3 linked regions of the Caenorhabditis elegans genome follow. The protein of the gene in region 3 interacts with the protein of the main gene of each other region in a pairwise test. Each region holds a gene or a part of one and is shown on either strand. Other genes may lie near its edges.

Region 1 (5,794 bases), on a different chromosome or scaffold from region 3:
AATGTCAAAAAAATATCGAAAATCTATACAGTTTTTCGAAAAAAATTTTTTAAAAATTTCAGTACTATTGAAATTTTCTTTTTAAAAAAAGTTCACTTTTTGAACATGGGGCCTCGATTTTTTGGTGTTTTTAAAAAGATCTCGTCCAGTAAAACGCAAAAACGTCAAAAAAAAAACGAAATTCTATACAGTTTTTCGAAAAAAAATTTTTTTAAATTTCAGTACTATTGAAATTTTCTTTTTAAAAAAAGTTCACTTTTTGAACATGGAGCCTCGATTTTTTGGTCTTTTTAGAAAGATCTCGTCCAGTAGTACGTGAAAATGTCAAAAAAATATCGAAATTCTATACAGTTTTTCGAAAAAAAATTTTTTTTTAATTTCAGTACTATTGAAATTTTCTTTTTAAAAAAGTTCACTTTTTGAACATGGGGCCTCGATTTTTTGGTGTTTTTAAAAAGATCTCGTCCAGTAAAACGCAAAAACGTCAAAAAAATATCGAAATTCTATAGGAATGTTGGGATTTTCCAGACACGAAAATCTCCGTAGTGCATTTTTTTCACATTTTTCAATTTTTCTCGATTTTTTCGACATGAAAGTTTGTTTTCTTGTACTTTTTCGAAAGCTGGCATCAAGACAAATGCTATGAAGGCATTTTTAATATAAAATTCTATAGGATTTTTTCACTAGATGGAAAAAACTCTTTTTTCGGATTTTCCTCCTCCCAGTTGGCGGTTGAGTGCTGTTTTGCCGCGGTTTTGTGATTTTCTGCAACAAAAAATATATTTTTATCGATAAAAATGAGAAAAAACGAGAAAAAACAAAGATAAATGAGCTTAGCAGCCAAATTAAAAATGTTTATTCGTTCAAAAATCTTAACCATAGGAGGCGGTGGCCTAGCCGGCGCAGCTCTCGCGGCCACGTCTCTTTCGCCGGGCCGTGGTTTTCGCTACGAGATATTTTTCGCGTCAAATATGTTGCGAAATACGCATTCTCAGATTTTTGTGTTTCCGTAATAGAGTTTGAAACAACAGTACACTTCAAAGGCACACACCTTTTCAGAAAACAAAAAATGCTCGTGTCGAGACTCTTTTTCGCCAGTCCCCCACGCGCAAGAAATATTTTTCTTGAAAAAACTAAAATAAAAGACAAAATTGATGTTTTTTTTTAATTCAAAAATTTTTTAAGCTATGGCCTCGCAACGAAAGATATTTGTTAGCTATGCGCCTTTAAATCTACCGTAACCAGAGGAAATTTTTTGCGCTATCATGAAAAAATCATGTGGTGTCAGAGTGTCTTATTTCGGTTTGATCTACGTTGATCTATAAAAATGCGGGAGAAGAGACGCAGACTTCTCAACTGATTTTGCACGGTTAAGAACGTGCTGACGTCACATTTTTTGGGGAAAAAAATGCCGCATTTTTTGTAGATCAAACCGTGATGGGACAGCCTGGCACCACGTGAAAAATATAAGTTTTGCATGAGAATTCAAAGCAATTAGTTTTAAATCCAATATTTCCAGGTTGGTTCCTGAGACTTCTCTCAGTCCTCGCAATTCCTGTCTTCGCAATAATCTACCTGCTCAGCGGTACCGGCACACTTTACGAACGCTTCCGATGGGCAATAACTCCTCAACAACGCCGAAATTCGGCGACTTCTCTCGCCGCTGATCCCACACAAATTATCGATAGTTCTCTTTTAGATCCAATTCATACACTTACTCCAGTTTAGATAATTCTTGGTGTACTGTTGGAAGTCAACGATCGATAGCCGTGCACAGAAAAAAAGGCGGAGCGTAATTTCGCAACCTTGCGGCACGGTTTTTCCACCTATTTTGACGCCCGTTTTATTCTCTTTTTTTTTAAATAAAAACTAAATTGGATAGTCTTTTTATTAAAAAAAAAAGAGAATTCAAATCGAAATTTTATAGAAAAAATCAGCAAAACCGTGCCGCAGGATTGCAAAATTACGCTCTGCCTCTTTTCACGAATCGATCTTTTAATTTCAACAGTTATTATCGATTTATTGATTTTTCTTCCACTTTTTCAAATTTTTAAAATATTTTTCAATTCTCGAACTCGAATTATTTCTGGAGTAGCGTTTTATTTTTCCCGATCTCTTTAACCATCCACGCGGTGCCAATTCCTATTTAATCTCATAACTCACAAGCTTTCGTTTTCTGAAATTTTGTAAATAATCAATTAAAAAAAGAATTTTTATTGCACGATATAAACAAAAATATTTAATACTTAAATACTAATATCATTTTTTTGTGTAATAAGTCAGATCAGCCGAAACCGTATTAAAACATGGTAGAGGGGAAGGGGTTCACTGCAACTTTTCTTAAACGAGGGACGAGGAAATGCGGTTTCTAGGCCATGGCCGAGGATCCGACAAGATTTAGCGGCAATTTATCTTGCTTTGTTTTCCGCTTGTTTTTTTTTTTGTTTTTCACAGTTTTTTTTCCCGTTTTTCCTATTAAAACTGATGGATAAATATTTTTTCGCAGATGCTAGAACAATCGGCAAGAAGCGGTGAAAATGATCAATGTAATATGATGGATTACAGGCATACCAAACCTAAACTTTTTCCGAAACATGATATATATACTGCTTAGATGCTGAAACTACTTGATTTTCATAACGAGACCGCTGAAAAAAAGTTTTGAGATTTTTAAAATTCAACATTTTGTGCGAAAATATCGACTTTTTCACCAAAAAAGTTGAATTTTAAAAATCTCAAAACTTTTTCAGCGGTCTCGTTATGAAAATCAGGTAGTTTCAGCCTCTAAGCAGCATATATTTCATGATTCGGAAAAAGTTTAGGTTTAGTATTCCCGTAATCCATCGCTACACAATTTTTCAGTTGGAAATTGTTCTAGCATCTGCAAAAAATATTTATTCATCAGTGTTAATAAGAAAAAAACGGGAGAAAAATCGGTGAAAAACCAAAGAAAAAACGCGGAAAACAAAGCAAAATAAATTGCCGCTAAATCTTGTCGGATCCCCGGCCGTGGCCTAGAAACCGTATTTCCTCGTCCCTCATTCAAAAAAGTTGCAGTGAGGTTAGGAAATCATCACAGGATTCTTCTATTCATGTCAGTATGCAATAGATTATAATTATTATATACAGCTACCCGAGAGGTTAAAGGTATAATGGCTGGCTAGCCAACGATCGGACGATCCAGTGAACACATCTTTCGATATTTGTTCCTTCTAGCGCCGAAACCGGAAGAACTGCAAGGTCCGAGCGGTGATTGTCGTCTTCGAGCAGCATTCGGACCTGGAAAATATGATTTTAATGCAGGAATTTCGGTTTTTTTTTTCGATTTTTGAGAAAAATCTGACCTCAGCGGCAGCGGCGGCTCCTTCCATTTCACTTTTATTCACCGCTACTAAAACTGGAATATTTTGAACTATTTCGTTGGCCATTACTTCTTCTGAAATATTCGTATTATTATTATTATTTCTGGTATAAATTTGATTTATTTCAATTTCAAACTACTTACTAAACTGAGATGCTACTATTGGGAAGAGATCGCTCCTTGTTGCGTCCACAACAAAAATCATGGCATTTGCATCGTCGTAATATGTCGCCCAGAGTTCTCGTAAACTCTCCTGGCCTCCGAGATCCCAGAAATGAAGACATGTGTTGTTGAGCTCGACATTTCCAGCTGAAAATTGAAAAAAAAAATTTTTTGATTTTTAATTCATTTTAGAGGCTTACTATTCAAACCAACTGTCGCCGTGATTTTTGATGGATTCAGAACCCCGTAGTCCTTTACAAAGTGAGATTTTGTTTGCTCCAGAAACGTCTGAAATCGATAATTTCTGATATTAATCGGTGAGATCTCAAATTCAAGAGACTTACAGTTTTTCCAGCATTATCCAGACCGACTATCACCACATAATAGTCTTTTTTCTTGAAGAATTTCTCCCAGATACCCGCCGAAAGTGTGTACATATGTGAAATATTCGATTTTAAAGAGGAAAAACCGAGCGGAGTTGGCAAAATAAAAGAAAAACGAGATATGCGCCAAGGACGCCTGCTGGCGCATTCTTCGTCTCGTTGGCACGCAACTGGTGCGCTTACGCTTCGTGTACGAAATTTATTTATTTTTCGAATAGATTTTGGTGGATTTTTTCGTTTTTAATTGTTTTTTTTTGGTTTTAAAACTCAATTTTCTTGTTTTACGCAATAAATACTTGATCAGAAATCGATTTTTTGTGTGTAAAATCCAGAATTCGTGCATAAAATTTCTCTAAGGGGGTTTTTAACTTTTAGGAGTAAAGATTCTAGGTATTTTGAATGTATAAGACCGAAATATGCTCAAATAAGCGAATTTTGCAATAAAAATTCTTAAAGAGTGCTCGAACATTTTTTATGTCGGGTAAAATCTCCAATTCTGGCTACTTTCCATGTCGCAGCGATTGGAAGTGGACTTTTTTGGAATTTTCATCTCTTTTTGCATAATTTGATCGATTATCTCACGTTTTTAAGCAATAAAGGATGATAATTTAAAAAAAAGTGAACTTTCCATCGCCGCGACGCGGAAAAGTGGCCAAATTTCGCTATTCCACTCAGTAAACCCGTTCAGAATATACCCAGATTTAAACCGTACAAGCCTATATTATGAAAAATTCTAATTTTGGGCAGATGTAAACCAAGATTGTCTAGATTCAAACATAATTTGCATAGATTGCAAGTTTGAGTAGATGTAAACTGAATTTGTGTAGGTTTGTGTAGATCCAAACCAAATTTGTGCAGATAAATTCACAATATAGGCTTGTACGGTTTTAATTTGGTTTAAATCTGGGTATATTCTGAACGGGCTTACTGAACAAGTGAACTTAGCCGGGTTTTTCGGAATTTTGAGAAATTTCATTACGAAATTCGTCCATTTGAGCACATTTTGGATCTTCAACGTTAAAAATTACTCCTGTTTTAATAGTAAAAATTAAATTTTAAAAAACGATTTTTATGCTTGAAACACAGAGTTTACATGCAAAAATCGATAGAAATTTGAGTTTTAAACCAAAAAAAATCACTAAAAAACCCAGAACCGTTACGATTTCCTCTTTTAAATACAAATTTAAGAACTTTCAGATGTTCTTCCACTTGTCACTCGACCATGAAGTCTGCCTCCATCCGAAATATTTCGGTCCAAACCTGAACGAAACCATCAAAATGAAGCTGTTCAACGAAGTCGAGGGAACGTGCACAGGAAAGTACGGATTCGTCATCGCAGTCACCACAATCGACACGATCGGCCACGGCCTGATCCAGCCTGGCCGTGGATTCGTCATCTACCCGGTCCGTTACAAGGCCATCGTGTTCCGCCCGTTCAAAGGACAAGTCGTCGATGGAGTCGTCACACAGGTCAATAAAGTCGGCATTTTCTGTGATATCGGACCACTTTCATGCTTCATCAGTCGTCATTGTATTCCACCAGACATGGAATTCGATCCGAACAGTGAGAAACCGTGCTACAAGACCAATGATGAGGCGAATGTGATTCGGAATGATGATGAGATCCGTGTGAAGCTCATCGGAACACGTGTCGATGCTAACGACATTTTTGCCATCGGAACCTTGATGGACGATTTTCTCGGACTGTGCCAAGCGGAATGATCTGGTTTTCAACGATTCGCTGTATCATAATTTATCTATCACCACGTTATTTCACAATATTTTAATTTTTACTTTTTTTAAAATCCATCTGTTACGTTTAAACCTTAAAGGATCTCATTTTATTGGTTTTACTTGCTTTTTGGAACTTAAAACTTGGTTTTTTACC
Region 2 (5,074 bases), about 13 Mb from region 3:
AAAGTTTTAATTTTCAGATCTACAAATAAACAATCTTTTAAAAAGTCACAAAATTGATTATACTGTTCACAGTTCAGGCAATCATTTTGATAATTATCTTTGACCTGTATTAGGATATCATGTTCCGTGAATATGATAAAATATTTTAGTTTTTGTCCTATCATCATTGATGAATTAACACTACGGGTTTTATCACATGAAAATCAAAGTGCACTGGCCTTCGATCCCCATATTATTATCAAAGAAGCAAATATTGTTGTAAATTCAATTTTCAAGGGTTATCTCATTTGATGAACCTAAGGGTATATGACTTGATGATTTTTTTTTGTGATACAAACCCTGTACTTAACAAGAAACATTATTAGTTACAAAAGGAGTAACGCTTCTGGGTATTTTGAAATTGTAGCCCCAAAACTTGCTCAAATGAACGAATTAACTATATTCTCCAATTTTAATCATTTTGTGTGTTGCAGCGGTTCGAAATTGATTTGTTGTTGTGAACTATTTTTCAAAATTTTTTATAGACTTTTTGGGAAGTTTCACTATGAAATTCGTTCATTTGAGCACTACCAAGCCTTAGTTTTGTGTAGATACCATTTTCATAATTGCCAAAAAAGAAAATCCCATTAAAAAAATCCCACTGATCGTTCAAATCTTCAATCCGCAACTGTTGGCTTCTCGAAGTCTAAGACAATGCTCACAATCGGATTTGTATCAAAGTAAAATAGATTATAGCGGTTTATTTCTGGATGGACTTAGATTCGAAAAAGATTATTCGGCTTGAAACGTGCGGCCCTGTATTGACTGAGAACGATTATCGTCTGCTTTGTTTTAATCATGAGGATTTGGAGTTTATAAGCAATGCAGCTTTCAGAATGAATTGAATTTCTTTTTTTTTTCTTAAAAGAGAAATGTTAGTAAAGGGGGTGAATGTTTTGCTTTTTCCATAACTTTTTGTATATTTTCGCCAAAATTAAAATATTTTCACTTTTTTCTTACACGCTTAATGTAAGGCTAAATAAGTTGTAACACTATACCAATAAACACATAAAACCAGCCTTATCACAAACTCTGAAAAAAAATGGAATGTCTGAGAAAGTTGAGTCATAATATGAAACTAACCAGACAACATCAATCTTTTTTCCTTTTTCACAGGCAATTTTACCAACCAGACATCCAAAAAGGACAAAGTGTCTACTTGAAATATCTACAAAGAAACTTCTAGCGTCCTAGAGATCAACAACTGGATGTTGTAGAAAGCAAATCATTTCTAAAAAACGAACACAAGTTCGGGATATTGTCAACACTTTACCCGTGTACAGGTGTTTTCAGAAGGGCAGATGCCGGTTCTGATATCCACGTGAATTCACCTTTTGGGTGTCAGATGTTTCTTGGAGTGTTTTCTAAACTTACGACATCGTCTAGACAGATTTATTTGTCTTGGATTTATTTTTGCGAAGAAAATTGGAAAAATGTCTGTGGTGTGTAGTGGAGAAGGAGGGAGTACAAACCTGGAAAAGAAAGCAAAAATAATTTTGGAAAGGGAAGTTTGATGATTGTAGAAATTGAATTGAAATTTTCAAACTCAAAAATTTACAGTTCAGGTTCAGTTTTGGTTCATAATTTTCGGAATTAATTATCCTTAACGGTGGAGTAACGCCAGTGGGAAAACTTCTTCACAACATGTCTATGGCTTTACAGTGCCAAAATATCATAGTTTAAAAGCTCAATTGAAAGGCATTTTTTGAAAATTGGAAAAACCTCGGTTTTTGCCAATTTTTTGGAAATCGTCGATCAGAAAACTGTTCCTTTGAATTTTAAAAAACAAACACTGTAGAAATCTGGAAATGGAACAGAGCTATAGTTTTCTCAAAAAGTGTTTCATTCAATTCCACCTTGTTAAGTAAGCTTTAGCTTTAGTTAGCTGAGTAAGCTCTGAGAATTTTTTTGAATTTTTTCCAATCAAGTTTTTTCATTGAGCTTCCAAAGTACATTTATTTTTCACAAATTTGCATGATTATTTTCATTTCAACGCCAAACGATCAGATAAACAAACTTGAATATCAAACTTTTACGGACTACAAATATCACTACGCATTCTTGCGGAAGGATCAAGATATCATAGATCCCTTCCAAGAACAAGAGTTCATTCTGACTCTTATCAATGTGTATACGGCATTGACAACGGTGTTCCTGAACAACAATAACCTTTTATTCTAAACATCATCTCAATGCGGTGCCACATGGAACGCGGCGTTGACTTTATTTCCAAACATATTTGCATTGAATTCGGCGAACGATCAAAGCTTGAAAAGAAAAAGTTAATAGTTAAGTGGTTAAGTGGTGGAGAGCGGGGGACAGGGGACAGGAAAAAAATAAGGAAGTTCGATTAAAAAAAGTGAATGAAAAATATAGAGAACGAGGAACCAAATCATTTTCCAACAGTTCGTATCGAAACAGCTTTAAGGTTAAAAATGTGAATGATTTGAGGATGTTGTTGGTATGAAAGTAATACATTAAATAGTGTACATGTACCAATTGAAAAGCATTCTGGTTTATTTTTCGGTGCGTTTGACAGATTGAACTCTCTTCAGGATGCTGCTCATTTGCTTTTTGAACTCCTCATCTTCAGATTGATTTTGGGACATACGCTGCAAAAAAATACCGGTTACTCATTTTTTTTTTTGCAAAATGTTCTGCGATGTTTAGTTGTTTAACTTTCAAAACTGCAGTTCCCACGGTTTCATTCATTCAAAAAACTTTTTTACTATGTCTAAACTTTCAGGGTGTTTTAGTAAATTTTTGTTATGTTTCACGTGAGAAAATACGTGGCTTTCTAAAATTTGTTTTCGAGGTTTGAAAGTATGGATGTTTGGACTTTAACCCTAAGTTGCAAATGATAAGGGAATGAAAACATTTGATTTAGTGATTGTGCAGTGAATCTTGTAAGATTTGGTCTTACTAAGATTTGATTTTACTTTTGTAAAACTCTTACCCACTTCAAAATAGACACAGAAAAAGTTTTGTCTAAAGTTTTTCAAAAGCTAGGTGAAACTGAATAGTTTAAACTACGTCTTGCGCAACTCTTGCTCAACTCTTGCCAAACTCTTGCAAAAAGCTAGAAGAGCGAAATAGAGGTGCTTTTATCTTTCCAAATTAAAATATTCTTACCTCGTGGAAGCTGCGACGTCTCTTTTCGCGCTCTTCCTTCTGCTGCTTCAACGTCTCCATCATTCTGTCGTTGTGTGCCTTCAGACGCTCTTCCATCTTAGACATGTAGTCATTAAGATGATCAAGCTGGGTGTCCAGCTTGCGAATTTCTGAAAAAAACCAATGCTATAAGTAATCTGAATCTGAGAAGAGTTTTCACCTTCCGTCTCCTCGGTCACTTCTCCTTCGTTGAGTGCCTCAATTCCACGAGCCAACGCAGAATGTGCAGCAGCGTTGACATTGCGGTCGCGCATCTTGACAATAGGCTCTTGCTCTTTCTGCTCAACGACCATTGTGTTCAACTGAAATGAGGAAATGGAGAAAAAGACGATGAATTATGTCGTTGTAGGCGAGCACACATTGACGACAGAATGAGTAACTTATGCAAAGTTTGTAAAAATTAATTAGGTAATTTGGTTGGAGATGGGTGATGATGATGGTGATGATGTAATGCATGTATCAAGATAAAAAATGCAGGAAAAAAAGAGACAACAGCAATATCGAAATTTTATATTGCAATAAGGGGGTCTAATAAAATGGAATGAAGGGTAGGGTAAGGCATATGTCAAGGGTGCTGGTGAACGTTTTTTTTTCTGGGATGCCACCTTTTGAATCCGGTCTTTGGGAGGAGAACTACAACAAACCAGCGAGGACAGGGAGGCAAAGGAGGAAAATGCGACGCCTATGAAAATTGTTATCTTTTCGAATTAGAGTCAACGTAAATGCCACACAGTTCTCCTCACTTTTGATCAAGGCGTAGCAGTTTGAGAATTCAGTGGCCTGGGGTGACAGAAATGAATTATAAATTATGACAAAGTCAAATAAAACTGCCTCCGCAAATCAAAAAAAAAAGAAAGAAAAAGAAACTTAAATTTTGAAACTAAGTACGTATTTGTATTAACACTTGCCTCCTCCTCCTCTTCAATTCACCTATGACTCAAACCGGTAGACATTGGTGAAATAGAAACATTCAACAAATACCTGGAGAAAGCCCCACTAGTTGTGTGATGACTAAACAGCATGAACAATTAGAACGTATAATTTAAGAAAAATAGAAAATCGTACAGTTTCGTTAGAAGAGAAATGACCGACGGCGGGCGTCGCCGAGTTATCAGCCAACAATTACACTTTTGATGGTGATTTAAGATAAGGCGTGGTTATGGAGCCTGTACTGACTGACCTGTGTGTGTTGTACGCTTCACTTTTATAACCCTTTATGCCGATTTCAGTGGTGATAAGGAAGCGTATGGAGAACTGAAGAGATTATGCAAAAGTTTGATGGCGAAAAGAGAATAGGAAGAAAATACTGTTATGGTTTTTACGGTGCAACTGAGACTGAAATTTCAAATTTTGAATCATGTTCAACTCGGTATAATCTGATAATAAGTGCTAGAAAATGTCGTGATTTTATTAAAGTGCAAGAAAAGTAAAGAAGTGTATGATTCTTGATTTCGAAATACTGCCCAAATGCAATGTGTTATTTTTGGGTTTTTTTTCGTTTTCCGCAATTTTTCCACGCTTTGAAATGTATGTTAATATATAATTAATTCACATTTTAGTATTTTAAATTTTAGATTTTAAAAATTCTCGCTATTGTTAAGTTTGAAAAACGACATATTTCATAAAAATGACTACAAATGTGAACAGACCTGGTATAAGTTCACTTCACTTTTAAAAAAGAACTAACGGAGTATTTTCTCGTAATAGTCTCAAAATGCGCTAAGATGAAACAATTTTTTATGAAAATTTCTAGAAAGTTTTTAAAATTTTCTAAAAATCGTTGCAAAGTTTTGAAAAAATTATGCTACTATCCTAAAATTTTCCAACTTTTCCGTCGCGCACCGGTTGGAAATTGATGTTTTCC
Region 3 (11,013 bases):
ATTTTTAACAAAACACTCCGAAAAATTGGAAGCATTCACAATTTTTCCAACTGAAGTTTTGGCAGCTTTGGATTTTTTAGCGACATATACAATGAATTGAAGCATATTACTTAGAATATGTAAATTGTGGAGTAAAAAAATCAGAAACTGTTTGAAACTTTTTTTTTGTATTTGATTATTCCAGCACTACAGTAATGATTTTAAAAGTTTCACAATTCCATATCCCGATAAAAACCGTTAACAATTTATAGTTCAGGTATGTGGTGAACAGTGACCGCGATAGATGTTACGAGTCCAAGTCACCGGGTCCCAAAAGATCACAAGGTGCCCATTTGGTTCCAGTCACCGTAACATCAGACGGATCAACGCCTACTGTCTATTTTTAATATGTATCCGATAAAAATTCTGAAATATCTGTTCATCTCCCTCAACGCCCCAATCTTACTGGTCACATGCTCCTCGCTTCAATAATTTTTTTTTGCAAATTGTCATTGTAAATACGCAACCTCGTCGAATTCTTTCACAGCTCTTTCACAATCATATCGGTGACTTTCTTTCTCACAATATTCTATTCATTGTATCTTCAAAAGTGCTCATTCCTTTGTCTAACCGTTTTGCTTACAATTAACTTATGTTACCTTCGCTTTGCAGTTTCAAAACTACAGGGTTGATCTCATATTCACATTACTTTTTGATCAATAAATATATTTATATAAATTTTGCAACTGTTAATTTCGTTTGAAGAACACAAGTAAAATACAGATTCAATTTTATGGAAATATTTGAGATGATATTACGGTAAGCATATCCAGTCCAAAAGTTTCGCGTTGTGTTTCACGGAAAATGATAAATGTAAAAGTTTTTTGTCTGCCTTTTGGTTTCCAAAAAATTCCAAAATTGTATTTTTTTCTTTTTTTTTATTCATTCATTTTTAGTCATACATACATCATTTATCATTCATCCATTTCAGCTCGCTTGTCGATCTCCAGTTGGCCTGATCCTCATTGACCTTCTCGGCCCAAGTTCGCCGCCGTGGTTGTTTGTGAAATGATCCACGAGCTGCTCCTTCGCCTGTCAATGCCGGTGTTTCTGGCATTGACAGGGTGGCTAGGGGTGTGGGGGTCGAACCATTAACCCCCCGGGTGGCCGAATCAAGACCGCCGCCTTGATCCACTCGGCCATCCTCCCGCCGAAAGAACAATAGAACATAGCTGATTAAGTTCACGTGATGATTTACATATTAAGAAGAGAAATAACTTCCAGGGGTCGAAGTTCATAACTTTTTTTGTTGTACATGGATTTATTCGAAAATTTCGGAAAGTATGTTATCAACCCTGCTCTTTCACGTGATGGTAGTTTCAAAATGATTTGAACAGCCAAAGTTTATCAGACTGATGTTCTTTCTAGTTTATTTTCAGACTTTTTAAGTTAAAGGGTAATTTTGCTTATTCAAAAGTATAATGTGAAAGTTCAAAAAAGAATTGGAGGAAATTGCAGCCAGAAAAATTGCTAAGAGTTTTTTTTTCCATCAAAAAAACATGTTTTACTTGTTTGATATGTCAGAAGTCTGTAAAAAACTAAAAACACTATTCCGTTTTAACATGTTCTATCTTTTTTAAATTAAAACTGAACTTCCAATTAGATAACAAAAATTTAAGTGTCAGAATTTCGACTAATTCTGATATCTGAACATATTCAAATATTTCAAATCAGTTTTGTTTTTCAATAAAATATTTTCATTACATCTTCGAAATCCTTCTGGATTTTTTTAAAACCGATTAGCATTGCCCTTTTCGTTCACATCTGGTCATTTTTTCAGTTTCTATATAGCAAAAAGTATATCTGATAATTTTTATAAGGTTAGAAAATAATTTTCATTTGAAACATTTCAATCACAATTATTAAAACGATATTGCAACTAGCAAAACACATGGCCTTTTTGAATGAGCTTATGAAGCTGATGGAAAAAATACAAGTACATCATCTAAACTGGCTAAAAATTAAAAGAACAAAACTACATACAAATTGTATTAAGAGGAATGGACTTTGGAAACTTGAATTGAAAAATAAATTGAATTATGCATGTAACAGAAAGTAACAAAGAAGGAAAGTGTGTTGTTGGTAGCGTGTTTGTAAATAATAAATAGAATTTCGATGACTAGTGCATGAGGAATATTCAAGAAAATTGGTTATCCGCAAGTATTGACTTGTTATTGTTACTATTTTTGAACATATTGTAAGGAATTGGAGCAGTCGGTACAGGGTCGAATGATGATCCAGATGATGATCTGCAACTTTTTTTGTATAGTTTGTTACTTTTGAAGATGTTTATCGAATCGTAATAGATTCTGGAGCTAGTATTTTCAGCTTGACCTATGTGTGTTTCTAGAAAGTATTCAACTGAAAATTTTATACTCAAAAACTAACTTAAAAAGGAACTTACAATTAGAGAAAAGTTCAAGATTCACTGTAGTTTTGCTTTCGTTCAGAAAACTCAAATTTTGAGTACTTTTTGCAAAGTTTCCTAGGAAGAAAAAACAACGGTCTCATAATTTTTTGTCTCACCTCCGATGAAGAGAATTTTGCATCAACGAGCCCGATGAAGTTCTTGCATGTTCTGATAGCCTGGAATATGGGAATTAAGGAAATTATATTTGATTTATTTGAGCAATTAATAAAACTGCGTCTTACCCTCCAGTCACGCCCATTCGACCTTTTTTCTTCCTTTCCTGTATTTTCTGTCTAATTTCCTCCATTCTACTCAGTGCCTCGTCTCCGCTGTCTGGAAAAAAAGAAAAGAAATGAGAAAAAAAAGGAGAGAGGAAGAAGAGTGCTCTTTTCACATGCCAAAAGAAATGCAGTCGACGCTTCCCCCTTTGCCTTTCTTTTTTCCCGACTAGGGCTTCATATACTCACTTTTATCTACCATTGCTGCATATTTGTCCCGCTCCGACCTCAGTTCGTTGATGATCAGATCCTAAAATTTATCAATTATTCATCGAATATGCCCGTTGTAATTTGTGAGCTCATTTCAAAGTGTGTTTTCTGATGTTCTCTATAATAGAAATAAAGCTCATTTCTAGTATATCAAATATCAGAAACATTTTTATTTATTCTAGGCGCGATAATTAAATATACCAATCTAAAATTACTCTCTTGAATTAAACTCCCAAAGTTATTAGGCAAAAAGATTCTCCCCGGCCGGGAATTGAACCCGGGTCTCGCATGTGACAGACGCGGATACTCACCACTATACTACCGAGGACACGAAAGAGAGCGGTTGTTGAGGCTTTTATAAACTGGGTTTATGACCGAAAATTTAGTGCTATATAGTATATGTAACAATAAATTATGTTAATATGTATAAGGGGCAACTGGGAAACTTTAAACAATTTATTGAAAACATTTTCTGTGAGAAAACACGTAACCTTGAAAAGTAACGTCTCTATTTTTGAAAAGATCCCTTATAAATGTTTTCACTTGTTTTAAATTTTGTATAAAAAATTTAGCAGCAGTTCTTGCCTCACCTTTTCATAACTCTCCTCTTTCAATTTGTCCACCTGGGTTTCAAAGTTGTCAGTTATTGTTGCAAGAGTTGACTTCCGTTGCTCAGTTTTGTCACCGTGAGTTCTAAAAAAAGCTTTTTCAATTCTGCTCTCCATTTCCGTTTTCGGCTCAGTTCTTCAACAAACGAAGAGAATAAAAGAAGAGAGAAAGAAAAAAAAACAAACTTTCGCAAATCGTTCACCATTCTTTCGAGTTGCTGAATCTTGTCGTCTTTTGATTGAATGCTCTTTCGCATTCGAATAAGATCCTCTGTGCTGCCGGGAGTAGTGGTTCGCTGCAAAATTGATGATTATGCAAATGAGTAGTGGTTAGTAATTCCATGAGTAATTCTATAGATGTTCTGGCATGTTCTATTTCAGGGCTTATGTACTACTATGTACAAAGACGGCTTAGACGGCAATATCTAGGATAAGATTGTTATAGAAGATAAACTAATAATAATAGTTTATAATTTTAATTTCCAGTAAAAAAATTATGAGATGCTAGAAAAATTTTTAATTCTCCATTTTTTAATGGTATATATTAGAAAAATGATGACGCTCTTTAGACCCTCTGCAAACGTTTTCAAATGTACTAACCTATAGGCGTCCCATCTAATTTTCAGAAAAAAAATACTGAGACCGGTGCTGATCTATATCAATAAAACTTTCATTACCGGACATTTAACCCCATAATCGGGAACCGGTTCAAATGTTGTCGCCCCCCCCCCCCCTTTTCCTAGCACACCCCACATTACTTTCATTTACTACTATTTCTCTCCCTGTTTCGAGACAAACCTTAAGACTTCCAGTGAGTGATGTGTCTTTGTTCAATTGCATTCTTAGCTGAGTCTTCTCCATTTCCCACTGAGCCCGTTCCGACTCAACCATCTGATCCCTCCGATGTTGTTCTTCCCATACTTCGTTTAGTTGCTTTCGCAGCTCATCAGCGTGTGCCACTACAGCGGACAATTCTTCGCATTTCTAGAAAAAGTGTTTCTTATTGAATTTTAATTTCAAAAAAAAGATAACGTACTATCAAGAAAACAGTTTTGATTTGGGAGCTTTAAAAAATATTTTTAATGTAAGTTAAGAAAGCAAAAAACATTTTTTAGAGAAGTCCGGAAGTGCAAGGTATATTGCAAAGTTAAATTAAAATTTGAATTTCGCAATATTTTTTGAATATGAATGCAAAAGTAATGGTACATAACTATTTGAGTGCCTTTAAAATTACCTTGAAAATAGAAAAAAAATTGATAGACAAGTTCTGAATGTTTCTAAACACAGCACGTTTTCAATTGTTGTTTGTATCACATGGAAGTTTTTTTTCATTTCTTATTTTCCCACGTCAGTTTGCAAATTTTTTTCGCGTTTCACTTTTATTCATTATTATATCAATTGGAGTGTCTCATCAAAAACAAAAAAAATGAGACAACTGTTAAAAATCTATTTCAAGTAAAAATTGATTTCCGGCTAGTGAGACAATTTTTTATTTATTTTTGGGTTGTCTCGTTATGAAGTCATGTTGATCAAAATCCTTAAAAACCGAAAAAGTGGCCAAAGGTGACCAAACCTGGCCACCAATGGGCTCTAAATGTACCATAATCAACGAAGTGAGATCATAATTCAAAAACTTCAATTTCCGACTACTGCGACACGGTAAAATATTCTAAATTAGAGATTTTAGCTAACAGTCAGGAAAAAAAAATTTTAAATTTTTGGAGAAGTTTCATTACGAATTTCGTTCATTTGAAAACATTTTTAGTCTATATGTTCAGAAATTCTCCATATTCACAAAATACCCAAACAACTGTTCACTTTTATCAAAAGTACACTGTTGTGGTCCTATACTTTTGTTCTCCCCCCATTTTCCCATAAATAAATTGGAAATGTTATCCATTCCGCTCAGCACATTCTCCCACAAATATTCCATACTTTTTCCCGCTTCGCCAATCTCTCTTGTGAATTGGCGAGTGCCTTCTCAAGCATTGCAATATGATTTCGTTGCTCCTCCAACGTCTGATTCTGTGCCTCAATCTCCATTTTTTGCCGCTCTTTGCATGCGAAGAGTTCTTGCCCTGAATCGGAAAAAAATCAATTGTATAAGTATTTTATTCGTTTTTTTTTTCATATTTCTCATTCTGCTTCTCTGTTTCCAGTTCTATTGTATCAAATTTATTTCTTTTTTTCTCCTCACTCTGCTGAATTTCGTTTAACATCAGGTTCGCCACCATCGTTGGTTCAGTACTTGCTTTTTCCAGCCGCATTTGCAAGTCGTCTCTTTCGATGGTAAGTCTGAAACTAAGATTTTTAGAAGATAATGGATTTTCCTGTTGATTGGATGTTTGTTTGATATATTGCCGCTTGTCAGTTTTTTTTTTGGATAAACTTTTTAAAATAAAAATATTGTAAAATTTCAGAAAAATATGCCCGTGTAAAACTTTGTATGAAATAAGCTTTTTTTTGCTTACTCGGCATTTGGTTCTGGCTTCTTGCCCAACTTTGTCCTACAAAATATCAACATGGATTGGCGCAACTTGGCCAAAAGTTAGGCAAGACTTCGGCAAAAATTACACCAAAGTTCAACACAAGTTTCACCCAACTCTCGCCAGACTTCTACCAAAGTTTGAAACGAAACAAGAAAAGTTTGGGCCAAAGTTTGGCAAGAGTTGGGTTTAAAGTAGGGTAAGAGTAGAGTTCGGCTTTGGTTAAACTCTGGTGCAGTCTCAATCCTTTTTCTCAAGTTTAGCCAACTTCTAAGCCAAGTTAAGATTTTTTGGGCCAAACTTGGGCAAGTTGCAAGAGCCAAATGCGAAGAGTATTTTGCCCAAGTTTGTTTAATCAAATCATTATTGTTGTGAACTTCAATGATATTAGTTGTGTTCAATGTTTGTCTAGTTTGCCCCAAACAACAAAAAAGTGCTGCTCGTGAATTTTGTGAAATAGTTTTCAATTCATTTTTAAATGGAAACTTTTTTATATTGCCTTCATTAGATATAAATATCAGAAAATTGTTGTCTCTTTTTACCGACAAGATTTTCAACCAACTTACTTTTTTACAGACTTTTCCAATTGAATAATCACGTTCAGCTCTAAATTTTCTTGCTTTTTTCGTTCATTTGCCAAGTATTCGTATTCTTTTTCCAGTCGAGCATATGAGTATTCAATCTGCAAGCATTTAGGTTTCCCACTATTTTGAAACTTCCAACAAACCTGTTGTAGTTTTGAAAGACTGCGCTTGAAAGCGTCGAGCTCTTTTTTCAAGTGCACATTCTCCTCGCGGAGAATTTGAATGAGCTTCTGGTTGCTGGATACTCCCTAAAATAATTGTTTGTTTTGCTGTTGCTTGTTGAAGTTCTTACTCTGTTAGTTTGGCTCAATGTGGGGACGTCAAGTGCTTGATCTCCAGATGCAGATGCCCTACGCTGATAGGCAGATGTGCTCATTTTTGATTCATTTGGGGGAATACTGAAATTATTAATGTTTAAAAGAAGAAGGTCAAGCTTTTTTTTGTAAAAAAAATATCTCAGGAAAAATGTTGAGTTTGTCAAAAAAGTTTGTTTGTTTTTTGAAATGCAACTTGAAAGTAGGAAGTTTTAATTTTAGATAATCGTTTAGCTAAAAACCTGTGCGGAAGTTGTTTAAAAGTTTTTCCATACGAATATAGTGATTAAATATAAAAATGAAACTCTTGTTATAATTTTTGAATTTTTTATTCACAAAAAAAAAAGAGAGAAATCTAGCAATTTTTCAGTATTCGTCACTTACTACTTATTAAATTCACCAAAATGTTTTCTACGATTTTTATAATTTTATAAAATGAAAAAAAAAATGCTACAAATTTCCTTATTTAAAAAGTGTGGCTGAAATTAATGCATAGTGGGAAACACTGTGGATAAAGTTATTGATACATTCAAAAAAAATTTTACAGTTTACCGTATAACGTTTCAAAAACATCATAAAACCAATACTTACTCTGACGATCTTGATCCACTCGCAATAAGACATGGCTGAGAATGACTGATAGGTGATGCTGAAATAATATACTATTTTCATCAATCCACCAAAAACAGAAAAAAAACAAAAAATGTCACACGCACGTCCTGCACTTCCATGTAAATCCTTCCGGCTGTTTGCTCTTTGCATGTTCATTTCAAGCTGATATTTTTCGAGCATCTTCTGCAACCGCTTCTCGTCGTCATCCTTGCTTTTTGTTTGAGCCTGGTGGTTCATCACTGAAAAATAGTTTTTCGAATTGCAGGACCCCTGGTTCGATATTGCTCACCACTCGCTTTCAGACTTGGATTCAACTGAGCCTCCTTTAGAAGTGAGTCTAAAATGTTCGTCTCTCCCTGATACATGGGTGTCGGTGGCACTGCATGCACTCGTCGCTGATCCGATGATGTGCCATCCGACGAGCGCGGATCTATCACGTCCCCTCGATTCATTCACCCTGAGATTAGTTTCGATTAAATAGTGAATCATCAAGATTGAATGTAGAACGAGAAAAAAATAGGTGAGAAAAATTAGACATTTATTTGGGTGCTAATATGGCAATCATACCTAGAAATATTTAATCAATAACGTAATTCTCACGTGGTCATTTTTCAACTAAACTACATGAAGCTAATACTAACATGAATTTTAACTTCACATCTTGAATGAATGAATATTTTGAATGCAAATACAAACGTGGTGTCAGGCCCACGGTGTCAGGCATTACGGTTTCATCTACAAAAAATGCGGGAGTTTTTCAATCGAAAAAAAATTGACGCCAGCGCGTTCTTAACCGTGCAAAATCAGTTGAGAACTCTGCGTCTGAACTCCTGCATTTTTTGTAGGTCTACGTAGATCAAACCAAAATGAGACACATTGACGCCACAAGAATACATGAAAAAATGATACAAAATTATATGTATTCTGGAAAAAAATTAAACAAAACTAAACCATGAATATTGTTGCCAGTGCAACATGTTCCCAAATTTTACGAATGATAAGAAGACACTTCGTGAGCTAATACATACAATGTAGAAACATTTTCATTAGTTTAAAATTGAATTAAATCTAATTTGATAATATACCAATACTCTAAACTGTAAGACCAAACTAAAAGTGACAATTTCTGGTATAAGTCACAAATACTCAACAACAAAAAACTAACACAAACCCGTCTCGGGCGGTCAAACGCAGTTTCGATTAAACTACACTAAAAGGTTTCAAGTGACCTGACCCGAAATGCAAGTTCCTAATTATATAATTACACGCGTTCGTGTGGAAGACCTTCTTTCCAAAATCGTTTAGTTTAGTTCTGATTATCGCGGCTTATCCGTGTTAATCTCTGACGTGGTCGAAATCCAAAATGAAGAAACTTATGTTTTTGCTGTTTTTTCCAGTTTTTTTGTTTTTGAATCATGTGTACTGAACAACAAATGGGCAGGATGAAAAGCAAAATATGATGAAGCTAGCCGAAAACATAAACAATAGAAACAAAAACTTCGAAACAAAAATATGAGGAAAGAGAATATGTTTTATATGACGAATTTTTTTAAAACTATTTTGATATTTAATGTGTAGTTTTTCGTTTAATAATTTTAGGTATGGTATGTTTTGTATCAATTTTGCACCCCATGGTATTTTTCATGGATCTTCTATGATTCCCAGCGTCTTCAAAATGCTCGTATAATTTTGTTTCTAAATGTGCACATTTTTGTTTGAATCCTACGTAAATTCCAGTTTTGTATATTGAATTTCAAATATAAACAGTCAAAAAATGGTATTGCAAGAAATACTGCAATGAAAAACACAGTAGTTCTAGGAATTACGAACAAAAATTAATTCGTCGGTTTATCATCTTGTAGAATTGGATTTTTGACTTCTGATTTTTTTAAATATTTTAGAATCTTTTTCGATTTTACTTACTTACTTAGTTTTACCTAGTTTTATTTAGTTTTATTTGGTTTTATTTTATTTTTTCTTTGATACTGAGTTTTATCGAATTTTCACATAAATTGCTTTAAGTTTCCTTGAACAAATCATTTGAAAATCATCAAAAGTATTTTAGGATCATTTTATGCGTTAGTGATTATTGATTTAATATATGGGTTATTGAATAGAAAATGCCAATTTTTTGATTCTATGTGACAATTGGTTTCTTTCTTTGTGATAGCAAATTAAAAAAATATTTCAATGTCATAATAATTAACTAGAAGCTTCAATAATGAACTATGAATAGCATATAAGTTTGAAATCTATTGATAAAAGATTATCAACAAAAAAGAAAAGAGTTAAACCATGTAAAACTTTTAGTCAAGTGTTAGAAATGTGTTGATTGAGTAGCCCCTCTCGAGACGCGAGTAAGAAATCGATTGATCAACGATAGGTGGGAGGCAGTGCGCTGGGCCCTACGCTCACCATCGGCATCTCTGTGCAACGCGTACTATCTCGACGACCCATCTGTCCAATTGCTACACGCATTCGCGATCTTGTTCCGCGCTGGACCACACTACCAACACTTCCCGCTTGACCCTTTCTCTCTCCCGGAGCCTAATAACACCTGCTTTTTCTACTGGTCGTTTTTTCTTTTATTAATTGCCTCTTTTCTCTCAGCGTGTTTGTTTTTTGTCTTCTATTTTCAATTTTGAAAAAGAAAAACATTTTTCTCGTTATTCAAAAGTTTCTCTTCATGTTTTCTTCTCCGTGTGAAAAACAGTATAGATTTCTCATTCCCAATTCTCTTCCACCTCACCGGGTCACGTGAACTTGATGCGAAGGAAAACAAACCCTCAACTGTCTAGCACTCACAGTTTCTGGTTCCCGAGCGGTGGCGGCACACAAGGTCGAAAAAATTCAGTCACCAAAAATTGATAGCCTCGGCTGTTTTGGCGTGTCAAATTAATGAACACTGTCTTAAGAATTTCAACATAATGTTTCATCTTTTTCCTTTTTAGATTTATCATCTCCTGTTTGAATTTAAATATTTCACAAAGTACAAAAAGTTACGATATAGCCAACTTTTCATAACAGAGAAAAACCACTGTAATGTCAAATTTTCAGAAAATTGGTGAATTTCTGTTAAATATCCTTAGTATCCTCAATTAACAAGTTCCTAATCAATTTCTCTCCGAATCTATTTCCAACCAAAAAGTGTTTCAAGTTTGGCATGTCGCCCGTCCCGCTGTTCATCCCGTCCATCTTCGCTCGTGTGTCCCGTCCATCCCACATATCGAAAATATATTGGTAGTGTGTGTATGTGTGTGTGTGTGTAGAACTGGCCACACAGACGTATATACTGTTAGATACGGGGAGAACCACCAGAGATGAAGAGAAATGGTGGTGAGTGGTCGAGCGCACGTCGATGAGTGTCTATGAGTGCGGTGGTGAGCGCATGAGCGCGTGAGTGTGCGGCGGTGCGGTTTCTCCGTCTCTACACGACATGAAACCCTCTCAGTTGACCCTACGTTCCTTCTTC

Evidence for each region. Proteins that work in one complex are often made in the same cells at the same time.
Region 1: the proteins of F59C12.3 (region 3) and Y54E10BR.2 interact in a two-hybrid assay, tested with the Caenorhabditis elegans proteins (one large-scale study listed by BioGRID).
Region 2: the proteins of F59C12.3 (region 3) and bbln-1 interact in a two-hybrid assay, tested with the Caenorhabditis elegans proteins (one large-scale study listed by BioGRID).

Annotation. Positions count from the first base shown.
Region 1 is NC_003279.8:3,031,172-3,036,965, reverse strand, and holds Y54E10BR.2 (ADP-ribosylation factor-related protein 1), read right to left. Parts: upstream 4,028-5,794; 5' UTR 3,961-4,027; coding exon 3,868-3,960; intron 3,812-3,867; coding exon 3,724-3,811; intron 3,671-3,723; coding exon 3,506-3,670; intron 3,437-3,505; coding exon 3,345-3,436; intron 3,280-3,344; coding exon 3,142-3,279; 3' UTR 2,199-3,141; downstream 1-2,198. Other genes in the region: mod-5 (Transporter), read left to right, coding at 1,520-1,728; rpb-7 (DNA-directed RNA polymerase II subunit RPB7), read left to right, coding at 4,028-4,096, 5,104-5,628.
Region 2 is NC_003284.9:3,148,950-3,154,023, forward strand, and holds bbln-1 (Bublin coiled-coil protein), read right to left. Parts: upstream 3,513-5,074; 5' UTR 3,504-3,512; coding exon 3,371-3,503; intron 3,321-3,370; coding exon 3,172-3,320; intron 2,652-3,171; coding exon 2,556-2,651; 3' UTR 2,199-2,555; downstream 1-2,198. UniProt on the Caenorhabditis elegans protein: Dynamic component of the endotube in intestinal cells, interacts with intermediate filament and regulates intestinal lumen morphology.
Region 3 is NC_003284.9:16,601,527-16,612,539, forward strand, and holds F59C12.3 (Angiomotin_C domain-containing protein), read right to left. Parts: upstream 7,999-11,013; 5' UTR 7,994-7,998; coding exon 7,831-7,993; intron 7,781-7,830; coding exon 7,646-7,780; intron 7,579-7,645; coding exon 7,521-7,578; intron 7,351-7,520; exon of another isoform or gene 7,126-7,350; intron 7,014-7,125; coding exon 6,908-7,013; intron 6,864-6,907; coding exon 6,759-6,863; intron 6,714-6,758; coding exon 6,598-6,713; intron 5,841-6,597; coding exon 5,743-5,840; intron 5,624-5,742; coding exon 5,481-5,623; intron 4,530-5,480; coding exon 4,344-4,529; intron 3,842-4,343; coding exon 3,732-3,841; intron 3,631-3,731; coding exon 3,528-3,630; intron 3,277-3,527; exon of another isoform or gene 3,184-3,276; intron 2,978-3,183; coding exon 2,917-2,977; intron 2,783-2,916; coding exon 2,692-2,782; intron 2,626-2,691; coding exon 2,566-2,625; intron 2,289-2,565; coding exon 2,177-2,288; 3' UTR 1,865-2,176; downstream 1-1,864. Other genes in the region: cdh-9 (Cadherin domain-containing protein), read left to right, coding at 257-386; F59C12.4 (uncharacterized protein), read right to left, coding at 947-1,096.